Linked DNA regions of Kluyveromyces lactis. The protein of the gene in region 1 purifies or fractionates together with the protein of each later gene. This does not show direct contact. Links are inferred from orthologs where the notes say so. Each region holds a gene or a part of one and is shown in the gene's direction. Other genes may lie near its edges.

The links.
Region 2: the proteins of APL1 (region 1) and APM4 purify together in Saccharomyces cerevisiae (affinity purification with mass spectrometry; 4 studies listed by BioGRID, with this or other methods). This does not show direct contact. The link is inferred for Kluyveromyces lactis from reciprocal best matches to the Saccharomyces cerevisiae genes APL1 and APM4.

Annotation. Positions count from the first base shown.
Region 1 is NC_006041.1:840,735-852,687, forward strand, and holds APL1 (Apl1p), read left to right. Parts: upstream 1-2,398; coding exon 2,399-4,489; downstream 4,490-11,953. Other genes in the region: mitogen-activated protein kinase kinase kinase SSK1, read left to right, coding at 1-1,820; CMS1 (Cms1p), read right to left, coding at 4,564-5,490; THI73 (Thi73p), read right to left, coding at 5,866-7,401; KLLA0_E09593g (uncharacterized protein), read left to right, coding at 8,051-10,561; TFIIH/NER complex subunit SSL1, read left to right, coding at 10,853-11,953. UniProt on the Saccharomyces cerevisiae protein: Adaptins are components of the adaptor complexes which link clathrin to receptors in coated vesicles. Clathrin-associated protein complexes are believed to interact with the cytoplasmic tails of membrane proteins, leading to their selection and concentration.
Region 2 is NC_006039.1:350,632-362,231, reverse strand, and holds APM4 (Apm4p), read left to right. Parts: upstream 1-5,915; coding exon 5,916-7,343; downstream 7,344-11,600. Other genes in the region: MAM3 (Mam3p), read left to right, coding at 1-1,108; putative serine/threonine protein kinase RTK1, read left to right, coding at 1,600-3,381; ribose phosphate diphosphokinase subunit PRS5, read right to left, coding at 3,800-5,206; MRX9 (Mrx9p), read left to right, coding at 7,717-8,847; ARP2 (actin-related protein 2), read left to right, coding at 9,285-10,460; serine/threonine/tyrosine protein kinase MPS1, read right to left, coding at 10,664-11,600. UniProt on the Saccharomyces cerevisiae protein: Component of the adaptor complexes which link clathrin to receptors in coated vesicles. Clathrin-associated protein complexes are believed to interact with the cytoplasmic tails of membrane proteins, leading to their selection and concentration.

The DNA of each region.
Region 1 (11,953 bases):
TACAATTAGACACACCATGCGATAGCTTTCGCGGCGAGAATCCTATTGAGGATACTTTATACAATCAACCAACTAGTGTCGACATTGAAGTGAGAGATATGATAGATGATGTGAAAAGTAAGGTATTGAACAAGTTGAGTAATACGAGATGGTTCAGATTCAAAGATAACACGAATATAAGTCTTGGGTTTTATTATTACAGTGCGGAACTACTAGAGCCATCGCACTCTCATTCAGTTGGACCAGAGAAAGCAAATTCCAATACATTCGTAATAACATACTCTGAGTATCAAAATCTGATAAAAAGGAATCAGATTCGTGTTGGACGATGGTCCCAACTGCATAACTCATTTAATAGGTTGTTACACAGGTCCACATCTCAAAGTCCTTCTTTGGATACCGCATTCAATGATGACAATGGTCTTAGGATGTTATCTTCTCAGCATACACGACAGCAATCTCAATCCCCTGATGATAACCTGAAATATGCGTACAAAGTCATCATAGAACCGGATACGCCCGTTATGACGGTATACAGGGAGTTATATGGGGGTTTACAGAAAAGTGAAGATGCTTTAACAGTGTTTTATCCTCCGATGTCTTCAAGTTCTCCTACCTCTCCTGAAGTATTGACTCCTGCTGAACTTTTAGATCCAATACGTATATTCACCAAGGACGCTATAGGACAGGAAAAAGAGATCCTACTCTCAGATATTAGCCAGGGAACTGAAATCGATTCTGTTGTTGAAAGACCCGATCAAAGACGGCCAAGTCTTTTTGGAAGTTTCTCAAGCTCGCGTAATAACACTGGAATACTACTATTACCAAAAGGTGTATCCCCTGAGGATATTGAAGGTAGCAATGATTCTCCGTATGAGGAAGCGAATATTTCCTTGGATAATATTGAAACTTCACCGCCACATCCAGAGAGTTACGCGTTGACAGCCCAGAAACCATTAACAGAAGAGGAAGTGGGTATATCATTAACAAAGACAATATCGTCTCCAGAATTACCTCGTCCACTATCCAGAAGGACCACACCCTCATTAGATAAGCAAGGCAACCTTCCAAAATATAAAGTGTTTCCTCGTATCAACGTGCTTATTGTAGAAGATAACGCTATAAACCAAGCCATTCTAGCATTATTTTTAAGAAAGAACGGAATTTCTTACAAAGTTGCCAAAGACGGAGTGGAAGCAATAGAAAAGTGGAAAGAAGGCGATAGTCATCTTATCCTTATGGATTTGCAATTGCCCCTGCTATCAGGGCTCGAAGCAACAAAAAAAATAAGAGAACTGGAACGAATTAACAATATTGGGAATTTCTCTCAAAAGAGTGTTTCTAAGAAGCCCAATCTGAAAAAAAATGCTAATTCTAAGGAAGAAGGAGGTACAACTGCTGCAAAGACAAGTGATCAGCAAAATGAAGTCGAGAAATCGAATCAGCAGAATATGGTGTTGGACAAATCGAAGTTTAGGTCACCTGTTATAATCGTTGCACTTACCGCATCTTACTCACAAATTGATAGAACAGAGGCCCTATTAGCTGGCTGTAATGATTATTTGACCAAACCAGTCAATTTGGACTGGTTAAGCAAAAAAATAACTGAATGGGGATGTATGCAAGCATTAATCGATTTTGATGGCTGGACTGAAGGACAAAGAAGGATGACTGATGATGTACTTTTGAGACCTCAAATTGTAACGGCAAGAAAATCACAAGCAACTTCTACTAGATCTGTACCGAGAGTTTCTTCTGTCTCAACGACACTTGAATGCGATGATTCTAAATATACAAAATCGAATGACTGTTGTCCGTGAATGAAACCATGGAATAATTGAATTACTTTGAGTTTTCTCAAGTTGTAACAATCATACATTAGCGTTTTACTATAATGGTCATCAGATGTCTTTCTCCGGCAAGAATATTTCAACATTCTTCCCACCTATTACAGTCCACAATCTACCGATAGCATCACTAATTCAACATCTTTTAGGTTTTGGAAAAGTATAATAATTATGACCAGAAATCATGCTATGTAACATTAACAAGAAACTATATTAGTATTGAGCATATATCTTAGTAAATATGACATTATTGAGGTAGCAAACTGTTTCGGACGGTACTGAAGCAGCCATGTCATATTAACCAGCCTTGGATTTAGAACAAATTCTTTGTCCGGGTAATAATAACACCAATCTCTGACTTTTTGTTTGATTTCAAGAACATGTCAAAAGTAACAAACACTAAATTAAAGTACGGTTTATAATGAAACTATCTTATATTTCCCTCAAGAGACAACTGTTACATAAACAACCATATTGCACGAACTGGATTGAGCTGTGTTGATACTATAAATATAAACTCTAATATCATTTCAGTCAGTACGATATTAATTATGTCGGAAAGCAAAATATTCTACAAGTATAAGGCACATGAAATAAGAGGGGAGTTGGTTTCGGATTCTGGTAAGGCCAGAGGTAGTTCGAAGAGGAAACTATGTCTTCGAAAGATTATAGCGAATTTGATCATGGGAAATTATCATGAAATGGCACAATTATTCGTTGACGTTCTACAAATATGGAATAGTGAAAATGATTTAGAGATAAAACGAATGTGTCATCAATATTTTTGCACTTTGACTCCATCAAAGCCTGATCAGTTAAGAATGGCTCTCCCAATTATCCTACAAGACCTTCTATCCAATTCTGAAGAGCTGTGCATTTTATCATTGCGCACAATAACGTCGATAGATGAACCGGAGTATATTCAAGAAGGCTTCCAGCATGTGAAGAAGCTAATCATGACAACTTCAAAAATATCTATTCCACTAAGGAAGGCAGCTATCCATTCTCTGATCAAAATGGATCAATTAGATCATACGAAAGTTTTAGAACTATATTATTTTCTCATGGATATGTTGGACTACGGTAAAGAAGAACCCACAATATTGGTTGCCGCTGTCACAGTACTTCATGAAATTCATGTTAGCAATCCTGATATGAACCCACTCCAACTAACGCAGAACATATGCTTCAATCTCTTAGAGGTATTAGGAAAAATCAATGAATGGGATATTGCGATTCTATTCGATATACTTACTACTGCATACTTACCAAAAACGCATTCTGAAGCTCACCATCTTATCGATCTTTCTGTACCGAAATTGCATAATTTGAATTCATCTGTCGTGCTCAATGCTCTAAAATTTATTATCTATCTAACAAATTACGTTGATTACATTGAAGAGAGGCTTGTGAGAAAGTTCTCAAGCTCCTTGACTTCTTTATTGAATAAGCCTCCTGAAATTCAATTTCTGGTATTGAGAAATGTAATCTTACTTTTACTATCGCGTGACTCTCCACTGATACACCTTGAACCTAATAACTTCTTCATTGAATATTCTGACCCGACTTATATCAAAGATACAAAATTAGAGATTTTATATCTCTTAGCGAATGAAGAAAACACTTCTCAAATTCTTGACGAATTAAAGGGTCAAGCAACAGATATCGATATCCAAATGTCCAAAAAGTCAATCAGAGCAATTGGTAATTTGGCAGTTAAGTATCCACATTCAGCAAGATATAGTGTTGACGTCTTGCTCGAACTTCTAGAATTTGGCGTCGATTACATTGTGCAGGAAGTCGTTTCCATGCTCAAAAATGTTCTAAGGAAATACCCTAATCAGTTTGACTTCGTAGTTCCACTTTTACCGCAATATTCTGATTCCATCCAAGATTCTGAATCGAAATGTGCAATGATATGGATCGTCACCAACCATTCAAATCAATTGGAAGACCCAATAGGTGTATTCCGCAAATATTCTGATAACTTCAATACTGAAGGTCTAGAAGTTCAATTATTGCTTCTCAACTCGGCAGTGAAATTTTTCTGCAGAGCGCAATCAAAAGAAACTGAACAGTTGTGTCTTAAATTATTGTCAGGAGCCACAGAAATTAACGATAATCCCGATCTTAGAGATAATGCATATATGTATTGGAGATTATTGTCATTGGCAGGAAACTCTTCTGAGCCACTATTTAACAACGATGTGGTACGGGACATGATAGATGGTGAACTTCCTGTCATTGAAATCAACACAAAATTGGATCCAATTGTTAGAGAAGAGTTGGAGTTAAACATTGGTAGCATTTTATCGGTATATTTGAAGCCTGTTTCCCAAGTTTTCCGGGGTGTAAGCCCTAAGAAGTTGCCGGAAAGTCCAGCACTTAATCATGAAAAATCATCCTTGTCTATAATTAATGACTCTATCAGTAACAATTCTACTGGAAGTTTCCACGGTTCTGATACTACTCGGAGATCCAGTTCTCCAATTAAGAAAATGACAGATTTCGATAGACCAGCTGAAACAGTAAACCAACTGAAAGACAAAAGAAAATCCAGCATATCTCTTTCAGCGACAAAACTAGCAAGAAAGCCATCGATGCTCGCAAGAAAATTGTCGATGCGGAAGCCTTTCCAATGAACAAAATTAAAACTAGCCACGCATGTCACGAACTTTAAACTAAACATATATATATATATATTCAATCAATATATTTAAAACAGTAAAATCTTTACAGAAGATTTATTCTTCAAAAACTCCTTGAGTACTTTATAGAGAACAGCGGAATCATCTGATGTGAAAATTGTGTTATTTTTTGGATCAAGGTAACTCGCATCAATGAATATATCTAATTTTTCTTTGCCTTGGAAGAAAAGATCGGTGCTCTCTATGATTTTTTGAATACGTGTTGGAGTTGATATGAAATATTTTACAGTTTCTGAGGAAAAGTTTTTACCCTTCATCTTCTTATTGGACTTCTTGTTTTTCTTCTCTGGTTTGGATTCCTTTTTAGATCCAAGCAGTTCCTCCACCTTAGTTATATCATCTTTAAGTTTATTCTTTGAGAACAATTTTACCGCTGTTTGATGGCCGTTAACACTTCTATATACATCTGCAACGCGGATGTTGGATTGAGAAAGAATTATAGATCTAGGTGACTTTGAAAATGTGTGAATGAAATCTTGGAAATTATTCAAACTGCGATCCTTTTCATATTTTTCCGTCGATAAGAAGTCCTGTTTCTTAAAGTACAACTCATCTAATTCTAAAGCACTTAAATCAGGGTTTTTGTCACGGATTGATGTGGCTAAGTACTCAATAATTTTATCAACTGATGCCTTAGGGAGGTTCTCCTTTTGAGCTTTTTCATACGCCATGCGTTCTAGTTTTTTTTGATGGAGAGAAGAATTAGCCAGTTTCTTTTGTCTTTTACTTAAAGGTTTTTCAGACTCTTCAGTGGATAAAGTGTTTCCATTATCTTCCGTATCCAATGCTCTTTTATTCTCTGAAACTTCATCTGCAGTATTACTATCATTGTCCTTATCTAGTTCGACTAGTTCACCATCGGATACCACATCATCGTCTTGGGCATCGTTAACCTCATAAACTAGACCATCATCTAAATCATCTGCGTGTACCATTATGAAACACAGATAAACTGGCAAGGTACTAAACTGTGCTACTTACTAGAAAAGAAATTTCTTAATGTTGGCACTACTCAATCATAGGAACCTCTGTTGAAGCCAATATCAAATGATCAGTTCCATGCGATGAGCTTCAATTTTACACTTTTTCTCTAACCTTGAAGATTCACGGCTTTTCCAACTAGATGGAAAAAGAAAACTGTTAAAAATGTTACCCGTATTTGCGACAGGTTCAAAAACATATTATATCAGTTAAAAAAGCATTAGACAATTGCTTAAGCATACATAGCACACTTTCAACAGGAAAGATGTGGCATTAAGATCAAAACGTATGTTAGTTATTAGTATTATTATTGTTATTATTTGTTTGGTTCAATAAATGTACCTGAAATTCCTGTTCTCAATATCTGTCTTATCTAAGAATTGATACTGTTCTGGTTTAGTTTCGGACTCAGCTTGTTCTTTGTCTCTTCTTCTGTTCTCTGTGTAAGAAGTGTAACCAATGTACAGTTGCAATGGAACACAAACACATTGAGTAACTAGCAATGCGATCTTGGCAGGAATGTATCTTGGGTATGAGTAAGCACGGAACATTTGTGGTGCAACGATACATGCGATATTGTAGACAATCATAGTTAACCCGTTTCTTGCTAGCCTTTTGGTATACCCAGAAGTGTTACAAGTATTCCAGATATAAATGTTCGTAATGGTACATGAACCACTGTATAATAGGTACAACGATAATAGGTTACCGATTTTATTTGTTAACGGTAAACAAATCATGACAATGCAACCAATGATTGCAGGAATGTACATAGATGTCGTGATTAAAGTGAATTGGGAAAATCTTCCTATCAATTGGGTTGTGATTAGAATAATCATGATGGTAACGCATCCGATAGGAAGTTGCAAAAGGGATGTCTGGTAGCTATCAAAACCAAATGTACCTGTGATGGTCACTGAAAAGGTTCCAATGGATCCAGTTGAAATTTGAGAACAACCAGTCAATAATAACATTGGCCATGTCAATTTATCCTTGAGTAACAATTCTTTCACTTGGTGCATCTTGATTTTCTTTGTTTCAAGACCAGTTTGGTTTGATCTGATATGTTCAATGACTTGGACTTTCTCCTTCTCGTTAAGGAACCATGCCTTAGGAACGTTATCTGGTAAATAGAAATAGGTTACTATACCGAATCCCACGGTCACTAAACCGACAACAAGGAACATGATTTGCCACGAGGTAAATTCAGTTCCGTGGTAATGTAAAAACCCAAATGACATTAAACCACCAATGATATAACCGGTTCCTGCTTGAGCAGCCCAGTAACCAATTCTTTGCGTTTGTTCCGATTTCGTATAATACATACCGTTGACTGTAATGCATCCTACAGCACTACACGACTCGAACAACCCTAATAGAACACGTACAATCATCAAACTTGCATATGTCTTACAAACACAATGACAAACGACAACGACACCCCAACATATGATGAACGAGCCCAACACTCGAGACACGGGAAACCTTTGGAGCAAATACACCGCAAACGGTTCTGCAAAGATATACGATGCAGAGAAAATAGTACCCAAATTAGAAAACTCATCACCAACCAAATTGTCCTTGATCCCCATCGATGCGGCATAATTTAACAATGCCTTGTCCAAAAACATCAATAGGTACGTACAGCATAAAAATGGCAAAACAAATATGTCAAGCTTTCTCAACACCTTCTTATCTAACACATGGTTCCCAAAGAAAGTTGTCTTCTCTGTAATATCTTCCTGTTCGATGCTCTTATCGTCCTTCAACTCGGCCGCTGCGGAACTTAGAAGGAACTTTCTAGCTACATCTTCCTCATCGCTTACGGAATAAACAGACTCACTGAGATCTTCTTTATCTGGCATCTTTTCTGGTTTGCCTATCTTGTTGACTTCGTTCTATTATTTTTAAATTGGGGACATATCTTCAAATTTACCAGGGAGGTAATTCGATTCATACTTCGATCCGATGAGGTTCTTTTATACTTCTCGATCCGTCCAAAGATTCATTCCGATTCCTAAACCACTAAAGGTAACTACAAGAACTGAAAGAATTGAAAAAAAGTCTTGCCAACAGAAACAGGCAAGTGCAAGAGAAAAGGACCATCTGGCCCATCTGGCACCTTTTTTCCATTCATTTCACCTCATTTCATGCAATATGCATGTATGTAGCTCAATGCAAGATGCGGTTACGTTGATCTGGCTAAAGCAGGTAACGTGACTAGCAAAGGGTCCTACTATCTTAGATAAGCTGATAATGTGATTGTGTCAGAATAAAAATAGAACTAGAGAAAAAGAAAAGGAAAAACGTGCGCGACGAGGCTCGAGAGAAGCGTCAGATTAAATTGTTAACGACAGAATGCAGGATTATAAAAAAAACATAAAGGGTTTAGTGGACATACTAGATCTGTTGTCTCTTAGCTTCTTGGCATTTAGTCCTTTTTGAAAGAGCACATTTTAAGACACACAAGAAACGGATATCTGTGAATAACGTAGTTTCTGCCAAGTAGGAACGATGTGGAAATTGACATTGTTCTTGGCGATATGGGTACCGATAAGCTTCTGTTTTGTGATTTTAGAGGACGAGTTTTTATATCTTCATAAAAATGGTATTTGCAATAAGCCACAATTTCACTATGAAGCAGATAATTCAGAGGAAGAGTTCGCGGTGTTTTACAACAACTGGGATGGATTGCAGTTACCAGAAACGAGATTCGGAGACCAGTTCACCAGTAAATATAGTTTTTTGAAATGGGTTGACGTATTCTATGGTACCCTGGGTGGGCATATGTTCTCCGGGACTGCTGTTCCCTTTGGTATGTGTAAGATGGGTGTAGATGTGATCAATTCGAAAAAGGGCGACGCGTACTCTGGGTTTCAACCCGATGGTGAGGTTGTTGGAGTTTCGTTATTGCATGAATCTGGTACCGGTGGTGCTCCCACTTATGGGGTTGTTTCGCAGCTTCCAATGATAGCTTCGAGTGCAAGTTCAGTTGATGTAACGAGGCAAATTTCTTTCAAGAGGAAATCGCCTGACGTTGCGCACATTGGCTATTATAAAGTAGAACTCGATAACGGTGTTGATATAGAATTTTCATCTAAGGATAGGTCTGGGTTGTATGAATATACTTTCCCCGAACTGAAAGACAACGGGAAACCAATTATCATGGTGAACGTGTCTCAGCATTTGCATTCTTTTGGCCGTCCGTGGTGGACTCAGAATTTTAGATCGGGCCAAATCAAAGTCTCTTCAGATTTGAAGTCTTATCAAGGTAAAGTGACGATAAATGGAGGTTGGACTGATCCCGGTGAATGGACCGTTAGCTTCTTTGGGAAGTTTGACAAGCCTGCACGTAAAGTTGCTACGTTCAGGAATGGGAGGACTCTACCGTTCCTCAGAAGAATGCAATCTTACTCTGGTGAATCTGATATTGGTGTATTATTTGAATTTGATGAGGATACTACCGTGTTGAAATCGCATGTTGGAATCAGCTTCAACAAGAACGAAGGTGTCAAAGTTGCTGCGCAGAATTTGTTAGACGATTATCCCGAAGACTCACAGTTTGATTTGACATGGTCTGTAGCGTCTGCTCTAGAATCTTGGAATGATAAATTGTTCAAGAAGTTCGAGATGAACGTTAATGAAGAGGACCCTTTGATCATAAGTAAACTATACAATTCATTGTATGGTACTCATTTGATGCCAACCAATAAATCAGGTGCAGAAGCACCGTGGGATAATGGTGAGCCATATTACGATGATTGGTTCACACTTTGGGATACGTTCAGATGTCTTCACCCCTTGATTAATATCATATCACAAGACCATGGTGCAGAAATGGTACGTTCTTTAATTGATATCTGGGAGGTTGAAGGTTTCATGCCGGATGGCAGATCTGGTGACAGATCTGGAAGAACACAAGGGGGTAGCAACTCAGATATCATGTTGGCGGATGCTTTCATTAAGAACGTTCATCAAGGGATCGATTGGGAGAAGGGCTTCCAAGCTATGTATACCAATGCAGAAGTGGAGCCGCCTTACATTGAGGACCCTATGGCTAACGACTCGACAAACAAATTTGGGAGAGGCGCTTTAAAAGAATGGCTTGAATTGGGGTACATAACAAGAAATTACTCAAGAAGTGTCACCAGAACTATGGAGTATTCGTATAACGATTTTGCCCTTTATATCGTTGCCAAAGGTCTCGGTAAAAAAGATTTAGCAAAGACATACCTTGAAAGATCGAAAAACTGGCGTAACATTTGGAACCCAAATGCTAAAAGTGTGAATATACACTATGACTACACCGGATTCGTACAACCTAGGAATTCTGACGGTACGTTTGCTCAACATAGATATGATCCGTTTACATGCTTTGGTTGCTATTGGAGAGACGATGAATATGAAGGAAAACCCGTGGAATATGGGTGGACGGTGCCTTTTGATATGAAGACTTTATTAGAATACATTGGTTCGAAAGCAATGTTTGAAAAACGTTTAGATGATATGTATGCGTTCTGTGGCCATGAGAACGTGGTTGATATTGGCAATGAACCAAGTTTTTTGACACCTTATCTTTACGCGTACATTAACAGACAAGATAAAACGTCAGCATTAGTGGATTGGATCATAAATACAAAGTTTAAGACGGGACCGCGTGGTTTGCCAGGGAATTCTGATGCAGGAGCCATGCAAGCGTGGCTAACCTTTGCCCTTCTAGGTTTTTATCCCGTGGCTGGTACTGATATTTATTTATTAACAAGTCCGAAAGTTAATTATTTGAAACTTAAAAGCATGCCTAACGTTCCAGATATTGAAATTTTTGCACATAACTTATATTCAGAATTTGGTGTCAGAAACAACTTCATTGAGAAAGTTGTTATCAATGACAAAGAACTCGATAAGAACTGGTTTAGACATTCCGAGCTATTCGAACACGGTGGTACCATCGAATACTACATGAGTGAAAAACCATTGGACTGGGATTCAGATAAAGAGTGTCCACCACAAGAATTCAGCGTTTAAGATTCAAGTATAATGGTGTAGTTCGTTAAATAAAATCAGTGATTATTAGGTTTTACATACAACCCTCGCTATTTTGTGTTGAAACTTTTTGATCATATGATCACATGATCAAAATCATGTAAGAAAATTTAGTGAATTTATAACAAGTGAAGCAAGATTTGAAGGTTAAAGAGTAACGCTACACCAATTTGGCTGAATAGACGTAGAGCTCCAGGCATTAGTCGATTTTTTAATTGGACTACATTTGGCTGTACTCTGGTCAAATTTTATTAATCGTTTTTGATTACGATAATGCCTCCTATTATAGATAGTGAATCAGACGATGAACGGATCATTGGAATCACTAACAAGAGACATAGACAAGATGGTCAGACCAAAGTGCTGAAAAACAAAGTGAAGAAGCATGTTAGAACAAAAGAAACTGCAGATTCGGATGGTGCAGGCAATGGGAATTCTAGTGATGATGAAGAGGATGAACGAGTTCATTCACAACTATCAAAGAGAAGTCGTGATCCAAGAAAAATGAAGAAGAAAAAGAAGAAGAAGCTGTCCAACAAGAACTTACAAGGTGTCAATGGTGGTTATGCCTGGGAAGATGACATTCAAAGAAGTTGGGACCTTGTCAAAGTTGATGATGAAGGCAATATCGCTGCTATTGTGGCAAGCATAGTTGAAGCAAGAAAAAAAAGGGCAGCAGAGAAGACGGTTACTCCGTATCAAAGAGGTATTATCAGAACCCTTATCTTGGTATTGGATTGTAGCGAAGCAATGATGGAAAAAGATTTGCGACCTAATAGATATGCAATGACAGTACAATATGCTGTAGACTTTATTCATGAGTATTTTGATCAAAATCCTATTTCTCAAATTGGTGTAGTTGTTATGCGTGATGGTTTAGCTCAGCTAATATCGCAGGTCAGTGGTAACCCTCAAGAACATATCGATGCTTTAAAGATGCTTCGTAGGCAAGAACCAAAGGGGAACGCTTCTTTACAAAATGCTTTAGAGATGGCTAGAGGTCTCTTACTTCATGTTCCAGCGCATTGTACTAGAGAAGTACTCATCGTTTTCGGTGCATTATCAACTACAGATCCAGGTGATATTCATCAAACGATTGGCTCATTGGTACATGAGAATATTAGAGCAAAAGTTATTGGTCTATCTGCTCAAGTCTCCGTTTGCAAAGAGTTGTGTAAGCAGACGAATTATGGAGATAACTCATATTATGGGATTATATTGAACGATCATCATTTTAAGGAACTATTCACAAGTGCAGTGACACCGTTACCGGTGAGCAAAGTGAACAAAGGGTTCACCTTGGTTAAGATGGGATTCCCTACCAGAGTATTTGAGGACACACCATCATTTTGTGCTTGCCATTCGACTCTAGTC
Region 2 (11,600 bases), on another chromosome or scaffold:
GGCTACATTGCCTGAAACAGCTCCACAAACGTCTTGTCTAAATATTCTAAATTACTTCCAAGAGGGAAAATCTCATATGTGCGTAGTGTCTAGGGATCCAGGTTCTAGTTCTGGTGCCATTGGACTTGTCACTTTGGAAGATGTCATTGAAGAATTGATTGGTGAAGAAATCGTGGATGAATCTGACGTTTTCGTCGATATCCATCAACGGATCATGAGAGATCAACCAGGACCACTATCAAAGAGGCACATCACTTCCTATTTGCATTCATTGTACACTAGAAAACCATCAGAAACTCAACCGCTTGTGAATGAAAATGCGGAAAGCAGTGAGGCGTCCGGCAAAAATGAAACCACAAACTACCTGTCAGTAGGCGCAACGAATTTTCAGCCCGCAAACCCAGCCGCGAACCCTTTAGATATAAAGAAACCTTTCGTGACCATAAAAAGGCAAAGTTATGGCGGGATGTCCAGGACTCCTCCACGGCTTTCTTCTGAGCCAATTTCTCCTGCAACAAGTGTGATTGAAACAACCTCCCCTATAAGACGTGAACCTGACGCCATTTCACCCGTGGGAAGCGCTCCTACAACCGATGAAAAAAGGAAGTATGTATCCCATCATAACCATCGTCATAGATCTAATTCAAGCAGACGAAGCAATAGCGCTATGGTGCAACAACAACAACCACGTCCGACCTCGAACAAATCCAATGACAAGCTGATAACGACTATTCCAGCTCAAAACGACAAAGACCATCAAACCGTGATTTCTTCAAGTTATAAGTCCACTAGAAACGGGATCGTCGAATCGATAATTACAGTCAAAGGTGTTTCTAAGACAATCATAGAACCTGCGTCGGATTGGGATGACTCCAAAAAGGTAACCATCAACGAAACAGAGAACATTGCAGAAGAACACAATGAATCATCAAGTATAGACTCGAATACTACGAACACTCACGCTCATCCGCGATCCCCTTCGTCAAGACGTGGATCCAGATTCAGTCTTTGGTCAAGCAAATCTTCACAAAATGACCAAGATTCAAACGCTAAACAGCTGTCAAAATCTCAAGAAAGCTTCAACCTCGAATCCAGATCCAAAGATTAATTTATTCACAACTTTCCTCATCACAACACCTACATACATCTATAAATGCGCACTCACAAGCATGAAGACATTTCGATAAGTTAACTTCGGAGTTGCTAAAAGTTCACATATAGTCTTTCGACAAACATTAGATAGACTATGATATGCATATCTTTCAGTTTTAAGCTCAAAGCTATACTAATTACATCCGATTAGCACTCATATTCTTCAGCTGTATCGTTGCATAGATCCGTTCCATCATCGCACATGCTTTCTTGTGCTCATTCTCTCGTATATTTTGTGTTTCCGTCTTAATTCCATTTCCACTCTCTTTCTTCCACGGTATGACAATTTCGTTCAAAATGGTTAAATAAGGATTTTCTAATAAATAAACAATATAAAGACAATTAAAGTTAAATCGAGCCAAGTTATTAATACACATTAGCAGAATTAGTCACAGTAATGCACTGATAGAGACCGAGTCTACCAAGGGGACGTAGTGTGTAACGAGGATGCCTGACAATCAGTTGAGTGCGGAGTCCAGTCACGAGATTCAATCCGTAAAATCTGCAAGTTCTGCAGGTACGTTCTTTTCCAAGAGCTCCATCAAGAATAAATCAAGGCTAGCACTTGGACGATTCTTCCGCAATGCTAACGGTAACGGAAGCAACGGAAATGATAGTGGCAGTGAAGGCAGCCACAATACTGATACCCGGGTTTCTCCACAAATTTCCGGCGATCTTCCACCAGGACTTCAGACTTTAAAGCATACAAATCACTTGCATAATCCGAACAATTATCAGGCTAATGGCAGTTCGCAGACGCGAACACCTCATCCGAAGGATAACAAGCAAAGAAGCTTTTCAAATTCCAATTCAGTATCAAGCTCACCGGTTACACAGAATTCACATTCCAACTCTGTATCAGGCCTTTCAAATACACAATCACATCCATTATTGCACAATCATACGTCACATGAACATAACAAACCATCATTAAAGGTACAGCATTCAACTGTAACATTGGATACCTCACCTCAGCCGAACCAGCATCCTGCAGAGTATCTTCAGAGACAAATCGAACAATTTAAGCTGCAACCACCCCCTAAATTATCATCGGCCGATAATTCCCATCCAAAACCCCATCACAAGAAATCACTCCGTTTGAAACGGTTCTTTAAGCTCCACGAACAATCCGGAGAGCAAAAACATGTAGAACAAAAACAACCGACAGCAACCGCAGTCGTTACAGACCGTAAAACTACAAAATTGACTTTATACGACGCAGAAGACGCCCATGAATTGATACAGAAGTATGGTATTCCGGGGAAACTTCTCGGCGAAGGTGTTTCTGGATCTGTAAGTGTTGTAAAAGGTTCGGATAACACTTTGTTTGCAGTGAAAAAATTCAGACCAAGAGCTGCTAGAGAGACCTTGTTGGATTATTCTAAAAAAGTTACGTCTGAATTTTGTGTAGGATCGTTTTTGCATCATCAGAACGTTATCGAAACCTTGGATATGCTACAAGAGGGAGAGCATTTTTTGGTAGTAATGGAATATTGTCAGTATGATTTCTTCACATTGGTTATGAGTGATCTAATGGGAAAGCATGAAATCGCATGCTATTTCAAACAAATCTGTAATGGAGTTGCATATCTACATTCTCAAGGATTGGCTCATAGAGATTTGAAGTTAGACAACTGTGTTGTTAATGCTCAAGGTATCTTGAAGTTGATTGACTTTGGTAGCGCTACCATTTTCCATTACAAATACGAGGATAAAATAGTGAAAGCGAAAGGCATTGTTGGTAGCGACCCATACTTAGCTCCAGAGCTTTTGGTAAGTCAATACTATGATCCGAGACCCGTAGATGTTTGGTCCATTGCAGTAATGTTCTATTGCATGACATTAAGAAGATTTCCATGGAAAAAACCAAGCGAAGAGGTCGTGTCATTCAAATTGTTTGCTCAAAATCCAGATGATGAGAACGATCACACTAAGGGTCCATACAAGATTTTGAAGTTACTTCCACGTCATTCAAGACCATTGATTGGTAGAATGCTAGAACTAAGTCCTCACAAGAGAATCTTAATGCCGGAAGTTTTAGCGGACCCGTGGTTCCAAAATATACATTGTTGCGAAGTTGACAACGATGGAAAATTGATCAATCCACCAACTAACCACAAGCATCATTTAATTACGGAAGACGAATTAAAAGAGCTTACTGAGAAGAGAGAAAAGGAGGCTAACGAACGGAGAGCAGCAGAATTAAATCACAATACGACACAAGAGTGATAAAACTTTGCACCTATATCTCAGCATCATGAACCATATCATAACCATAAACAATCTTAACATTCATTCATAATCATACCCAAGCATTTGGTACAACATCATGCACTCTCGCAATAGCTTGGAGACTTTAGAACTTATTTCCCAAATAAAGGGCAATGTAGCATTTGTCGTGCATATTCTTTTCAAATTCGGCCTAATGCATGAAGACCAAGAAATCTGGGGAAACCATCATCATCCAAAGAAACTCTTCCAATGTAAGAATGAATTTTACAAGCTATTGACATTACACCATTGCACGGCCCAATAGAACAATAGAGTGAGACCAACTTGAAATTGATACATTTGTGTGTGTATATACATTTATATTTTTATTACATAAAACAACCTTAAAAGCAGAATCACAAATTCGGTACGATTACTACCATCCATGTTCAAAAAGAATACTTATCGATTCTCCGTTATGAATTCTTCTGATGGCTTCGGCGAAAATATTAGAGACATCTAGAACCTCAACTCTATCAGCACCTAGTACCTTAATTGTTTCGTCCTGTGGAATAGAGTTTGTGACAATTATCTTATCAATAACACTCTGTCCAATTCGGTTTAGAGCATCTCCTGAGAAAATACCATGTGTAATCAAAGCATATATTTTAGTGGCTCCTTGGTCCTTCAAGAGTTTTGCTGCTCTAGTAATGGTGTATGAGGTGTCAACCAAATCGTCAACAATAATACATTCTTTGTTTCTGACATCACCGACCAACATAGTAGTGTTCACGTATTTATTGTTTCCATTATTGGAGAGACTTGTCCTAATATCCAGTGACTCAATTAAAGGTTTGGTCGATACTGGAACGCCACCACCTGATGTTAAGGTGGCGCCAGGTGGACCTTTCAAAAGCTGTGACCTTCTTTCCTTGTGAATCATAGCAAAAGAAAGTTCTAAGACATCGGCGATTTTTGCAGCACGCTTAGCACCCCCAGCATCTGGAGAAACAACGACACAATCCTGATAGTTAGGAATATGATGTTGAATATAAGCCTGAGTGATAGGTTTACAGTATAGGTTATCAACAGGAATGTCAAAGAATCCTTGGAATTGAGAATCATGTAAATCCATAGTGATGACATGATCTGCTCCGGACGTAGTTAGCAAATTAGCGATCAAAGTACCTGCTTGGGCTACCCATAGCTTATAACTAGAATTGCTTGCGTTAAAGAGGGCGTCTGCATTTGAATCTTGCTCCTGCTCAGATGGATGTTCAGCCTTCCCGTTTGGAATCATGGGGATACGCGAAGAAGTAGATGAGGTGGGTCTCAACTCTACTGGACGCAAAGGAGTGGGACTTTGTAGAGACTGAGGACCTGATGAAGAAGCTGAGCTTGCGGCATCTAGCCTACTTGAATTTGGGGACATGGGCTTCTCTACTGTTAGCATGGATTGAGGGATAGGGGTTCCTGGATGTGACTCAAAAGTATATTTTTCCTTAGGCTTTGATATTAATGGAGCACCCTTAGCTGTGTATGGGATATCAGGCTGTCTTGAATACGAGAAGTATGGCATCACAGCAGTGACTCTGGATGCATCAGCTGTTTTACAGGCATTGATGAGAATCAATAGCTCCATAAAGTTATCATTAACATGGCCACATCCACTTTGAATCACATAAACATCTTTCTCTCTAACAGATTCTTCGATACTAATGGAGGTCTCACCATTTGAAAACTTACCTAGCTTCACTTGCGACCTTTCAATACCTAGATTCTCACAAATCTTATTCACTAAATCGAGATGGGAACTACCAGCAAAAACGACGATGTTATTCATTTCTTTCGACAAGACTTACAGGGCTTTATTAAACAGTAGTTTTCTGGATGAAGTACAATACAGGTTCAGCGTTCAATTCACCTCTTATGATCGTATCTGTATGATCATTGTACCGATCGATCTCGTTATCTCTGTCAAATTGTTATAAAAATTTTCGGACCTACTGATAGTAAAGCACATTGCAGAGAATCTTCAAAAAAGAAGAATTACCTGAAAAGGCCCGTGTTTCATCCAGAAGAGCCGCATTGTCAGTAGTGCCATGGATATATCATGTTTATTCATAATGGCCTACTCTTAGGTATTGCGTAAGACCTTTTTGTTCAGATCTGTTATAATTCCCTTGACATTATATGCTTTCCAATAGTAAATATATACAGCTTAGACACAATGAGTTGGGGCAAAAGCAAGGGAATGAATAAGATACAATTTCTGTTCCAATAATCTATCATTGCACAAACCAATCCATCAGTGAGTTGCCTATATAATAATAACATCTCGTCAACGTTCTTGTTCTTTTTCTCAGCTTTTGCTTTATTTTGCAAAGGTTTGATAAATAGCACAACAATAATTTTGAACTATGTAGCGTATATTTCAGTAAAGGTTCCTTAAACTGTAACTTCAGGCACTTGAGGTACACAGGGCAGTGCAAAACTGAAACGGTGGTGTTCGTAACCTACAGTATAAAAATTATCGTTGACCAACACGCAGCATGCTTAGTGCTATATTTATATACAATGCAAAGGGTGATTTGTTGATCAGTAAATTGATCAAAGACCATGTTAAAAGATCACTGGCAGATGTGTTTAGAACCCAAGTCATCAATGATCCACATGTGAGGTCTCCTATATTGACATTGGGCTCAACGACATTTCAACATGTTATCAGAGAAAGTAGCGACAACTTGCCTATGTGGCTTGTAGCAGTATCCAGATCGAATGTGGATAGTTCAATGATCTGGGAATACCTACACAAGTTGTACCAATTAATGGAAGCATTCGGAATTAACGATGAAGACGTGTTAAAGGATGAATTTATGTTATTGTATGAGATTTTAGAACTGACGTTGGAGAACGGCATCCCACAAACAACGGACTTAGCTCAAATAATACCAAGAGTATCACGAAAACCAATAGAGAATAACACAATTAGCAAATCTCCCGATTTGGATGATTTCTTATCCGGATCTAACATTCTAAAGGCTCCAAAGCTTTCAAAGCGGTCCTCAAGTTCAATTGCCTTGTCTTCATTATCTGAATGCCCTTGGAGGCCAAGTGGGTTGAAATACAAGAAGAATGAGGTATATTTGGATATCAACGAAAAGATCACAATATTGGTAGGTAAAGATGGGTCAATTGTGAAATCATTTGTTGATGGATCCGTGGATTGTGTATCACATCTATCAGGTATGCCTCTATGCCAACTAGGGTTGAATGACACATATTCGATTCATGGAAACGAAAAGTCAGAATTGTCCATTGTTGAAATGATGTCCGAGTACGATATTAAGAATAAGAAAGCTATACCGAATGCGGCTGCAGGCTCTGTAATATTAGAAGATTGTAAATTCCATCAATGTGTCCAACTTAATAAGTACGAGGCCAACCACGTTATTCAATTCGTTCCTCCTGACGGGCCATTCCAATTGATGCAATACCGTGTCATTGATAACATTAATATCCCATTCAACGTCATACCGGAGGTAGAAATCGTGAAGAACTCTACACTCAATTACAAGGTAACGTTAAGATCACTTTTCCCATCCAATGTCTCTGCCAAAGATGTAACAGTTAAAATACCTGTGCCCCCAACCACGATTAAATGCGATTTTAACGTCTCTGGAGGAAAATGTAAGTACGATGCCGGAGAAAAATGCATGGTATGGAAATACAACAAATACAAAGGATCTACAGAAAATACTCTGAGCGGTAAGGTGGCAATCCCTGCTACTTCCCACGATCTATCTGATTTGTTAAGATGGTCAAGACCGCCAATATCAATGGGCTTCGAAATTGTAATGTTTAGTAATTCCGGACTTGTGGTGAGACACTTGAAATGTCAAGAACCACAATTGAATTATCAACCGGTGAAATGGATTAAATATATCTCACATTCAGGAGCATACGAGATAAGATATTAGTCCACTGAGTGGGATGACTTGTCCCTATAATGGTGTCTTCATATTAATGTGCAACGAATTGGTTTACAAAAGTTTACCCGGATATGTATATATTATTCATGTTTTTCCTATTTAAACAATGTAGTAATAATATTCCAAAAGTTTAAAGGAACAGAAAGCAGATTATAAGTCATCCTGCGATCTTAGTATGGGGTTTGCGATGATATAGACAATTTGGCCTTTGAAATTCCTATAAAATTCCTTTGTAAATTAAGAAGCTTCATAGATTTCAAGACTATGAAGACATTTTGCATTACCAGAAGTAATCGCTTATTGGTATAAATCTGAGAAAATACAATTCCGCACATCAGACATTGTGATATTCTTCTGTGAGATGCTTCCCCTAAATCGATTTCAATTGTGCGTTAAATCACAGATTGGGCTGCGACCATTTCAATCCTTGACAAAGTTAAAAGCATACAGTCCTGCTAGTCATGGATGTGTCAAGACGGGTCAGTTTGTGAATTTGGTGCCACGGTTCCCACTCCTGGCAGCTTTGAATCCCCGGATGAATCTTTTACATTATAACCAGAATATTTTGGTCTCTCCTGTGAAGATGGCGCTTCGAAATTTCCATTCTACGCCGAGAAACATGGTACTTGGTGGACGGGATCCTTTCAGAAAAAGTCCCTTTAACAATCCCAGATTTATCTTTTCAATCAGCCCTTTTTCCTTTATTCTTTCCACGTTACTGTTCGCTGGATTCATAACAATGATAGTATTTGTTTTGCCTTTCTTACTTGCTTTGCTTTTCCCGATGGTGATATTTGGAATAGGGTGGTATCAATTCAAAGCTTTTAGAACCAGGAAACTTATGCAGCTTTTGGATCATGCTTTCAATCAAACTAAGATGAAGCTTTCATCCACCACAAGGAGAGAATTGATAATGAAGCAAATGGTCCCAAAATTCAAGTCATTTACCCAGCTAAAGGACTTCAGCGGATTCCCCTTCAAGCTCTCTCAAGCATTTACAGATAAGTTTCAATCGGGAGAATTTCCCAACGCAGACAGATTTCTTTCCTTTGTGAAATCGAGATTAGATGAGAGTTTCTATAAAAACGAACACAACATCAAATCCATAGTTTTAGGAAGTGATACAGCTTATGTTCCAGGACACATGGAGTTAGTAACAAACTCGTACTCTTTTGTTTCCAGCGTCAGAAATAACGAAAACATCCAAGCTTTTTCATTTATGCTATTGAACATGGGTTCTGAGGGAGTCCGTAAACCAGTTGCATTGGTTTACATCGTTACAAAGGCAAACCCAGGGGACGAATTGTTGATGTTCACTGGTGACTACATTGATGATTCTAAGTTATCCCCGATGGTCATCTATGTACGTGCTCTCAGCCCATTTTCGAAATGTTGCTTCATTACAGACGTCGGAGAAACTGGAGCAAATGCACAATATAGTGTAAAACGAAAAAAGGACGGCAGTAAAGAATACACGTACGAAAGTGATTAAAAGAACTAACGCCCTCACCTAGGTACTGACATGACATTATTAAGAATCATCACTTCACAAAATCTATTTAAGTTGACACAAACCGTCACAATTTATACATATTCATCAATGAAATAAAAAAGATCATATAACACATATCCAAGCAAACTATAAGATTCATTTGAACCATATGAAAACATGCTTTACATGTAAATCCAACGATTTAGCGGCTATCTTGTGACGTGCCAATAGCTTTATACCTCCTGGATAAATTCTATATGGACAAACATGATCACATGATTTACGTGAAAAACGACATCAACAACATTGGGAAATAGGAGATGTTCTTAAAGAAAGAGAGGAAATAAAGGTTTATTTCATCAGATTTAATAGTGGAACTGGGGTAATTAAATCAAACGGACATTTGTGAGCATCTTCAACCCATTAATAAAGCGAAAATGGACCCACATACTCCAATTGTTCTTGATCAGGGTACTGGTTTCGTGAAAATTGGCCGTGCTGGTGAGAACTTCCCAGATTACACCTTCCCATCCATCGTAGGTAGACCGATTCTTAGAGCTGAAGAAAGAGGTCATGCTTCTACCCCATTGAAAGATATCATGATTGGTGATGAAGCAAGTGAAGTTCGTTCATATTTACAGATTTCGTACCCAATGGAAAATGGTATCATCAGAAACTGGGCAGATATGGAATTACTATGGGATTATGCTTTCTTTGAGCAGATGAAATTGCCAACTACATCCGGCGGTAAGGTACTACTTACCGAACCACCAATGAACCCCATTAAAAACAGAGAACAAATGTGTGAAGTTATGTTCGAGAAGTATGATTTTGGTGGCACATACGTTGCAATTCAAGCCGTTCTAGCTCTATATGCTCAAGGTTTGTCGTCGGGTGTCGTTGTTGATTCCGGTGATGGTGTTACTCACATTGTTCCTGTTTATGAATCCGTTGTTTTGAATCATTTGACAAGAAGGTTAGACGTTGCTGGGAGAGATGTAACCAGACACTTAATTGACCTTTTGTCTCGCCGCGGTTATGCATTCAACAGAACTGCCGATTTCGAAACTGTTCGTCAAATTAAAGAAAAGCTTTGTTATGTATCTTATGATCTAGACTTGGACACAAAATTAGCAAGAGAGACGACTACTCTAGTGGAATCTTATGAATTACCCGATGGGAGAGTCATCAAGGTTGGACCGGAAAGATTCGAGGCACCAGAGTGTTTATTCCAACCAAGTTTAGTTGATGTCGAACAACCAGGTGTGGGTGAACTTTTATTCAACACAATACAAGCAGCAGATGTGGATATCAGAACATCACTTTATAAAGCTATCGTCTTGTCTGGTGGTTCATCCATGTACCCAGGTTTACCTTCAAGGTTGGAAAAAGAACTAAAACAACTATGGTTTACAAGGGTTCTACGCAATGATCCCACACGTTTGGATAAATTCAAGGTCAGAATTGAGGACCCACCAAGAAGAAAGCATATGGTGTTCATTGGTGGTGCCGTCTTAGCGAACATTATGGCCGATAAAGACCACATGTGGTTATCGAAGCAAGAATGGCATGAAATAGGTCCTGCTGCAATGTCAAAGTTTGGACCAAGATAAATGAATGATTAAAACTCTTATATAATAGTACATTTGTATTACGTAGGTAAACTTATTAATGCACCCATAGGTTCATTTGCTGGCTTCTTATGGGAGCACAGCATTCATATGTTGCTTCTTTATTCAATGCAGGAAAAAAAGCCATAAAGACGGCATGTCAGAAGTGCTTTATCCCAGTACTGCCCTCAGTGCAATAGATTAATCTATAATTTAAATTCAGCTAGTTTGTTCCAAACATCTTCAGATAATTCTTCCACACGCTCATTATTGACATGTTTTTGATCGCAACCATAGTTTACTGCATTTTTTATCAAATCATGTATGAAGAATTTTGTTACGGTGACAGGATTAATTAATGCACCACTTAATAGCTGGTCAATTGTAACACGAGATATGGGATTTCTTTCCAAACATGATCTTATAGTGTCAATAACAGTTCTTGGTATCACTGTACCGAAAGAGTCTTTTTCAGGATAAGGAATCTTAACATCAGGATTCATGATCGCATATAACCTATTGTTTCCCTGGAACGTACCATAAGGCGGTTTTCCGTACACCATTTGGTAGAGGATACATCCACAGGACCAAACATCTGATGGTTTACCCACTTTCCATTTGGCTTGTTCACCATCATTCCTTGTGAAGTTCATTGCAACCAAAGTCTCGGGAGCCATATAATTGGGAGTTCCGATCTGGTTGTCTCGATAAATATTTACAGTGTGATCGGGAACCGCATTCGCAATCCCAAAATCAATTATCTTTAACATTCCCTTGACGAAAACAAAATTTGCGGGTTTCAAATCAGAATGGACAATATCAGCATCGTGAACCACCTTCACACATTTTATCATTTCTTGAAAGTGATATCTGACAAATTCCGTATCAAATGGTATTTTGGATCTCTGAGTCAATACTTGGGATAGATCATGTTCACCACATTCCATTAGGAGAAATAAGACACCTTGTCCCATATGATAGTCAATTAACTTAACAACTCGCTGCTTGTTTTCTAGTTTCTTTAGAAGCTCTATTTCCCCTTTGAAGCCATCAATACTGGACTCATCAAATTCATCGAAAGACACGCGTTTCAACGCGTATACCTTGTGATCAGAAGATTTCACTTTGTAAACTTTACCCGAT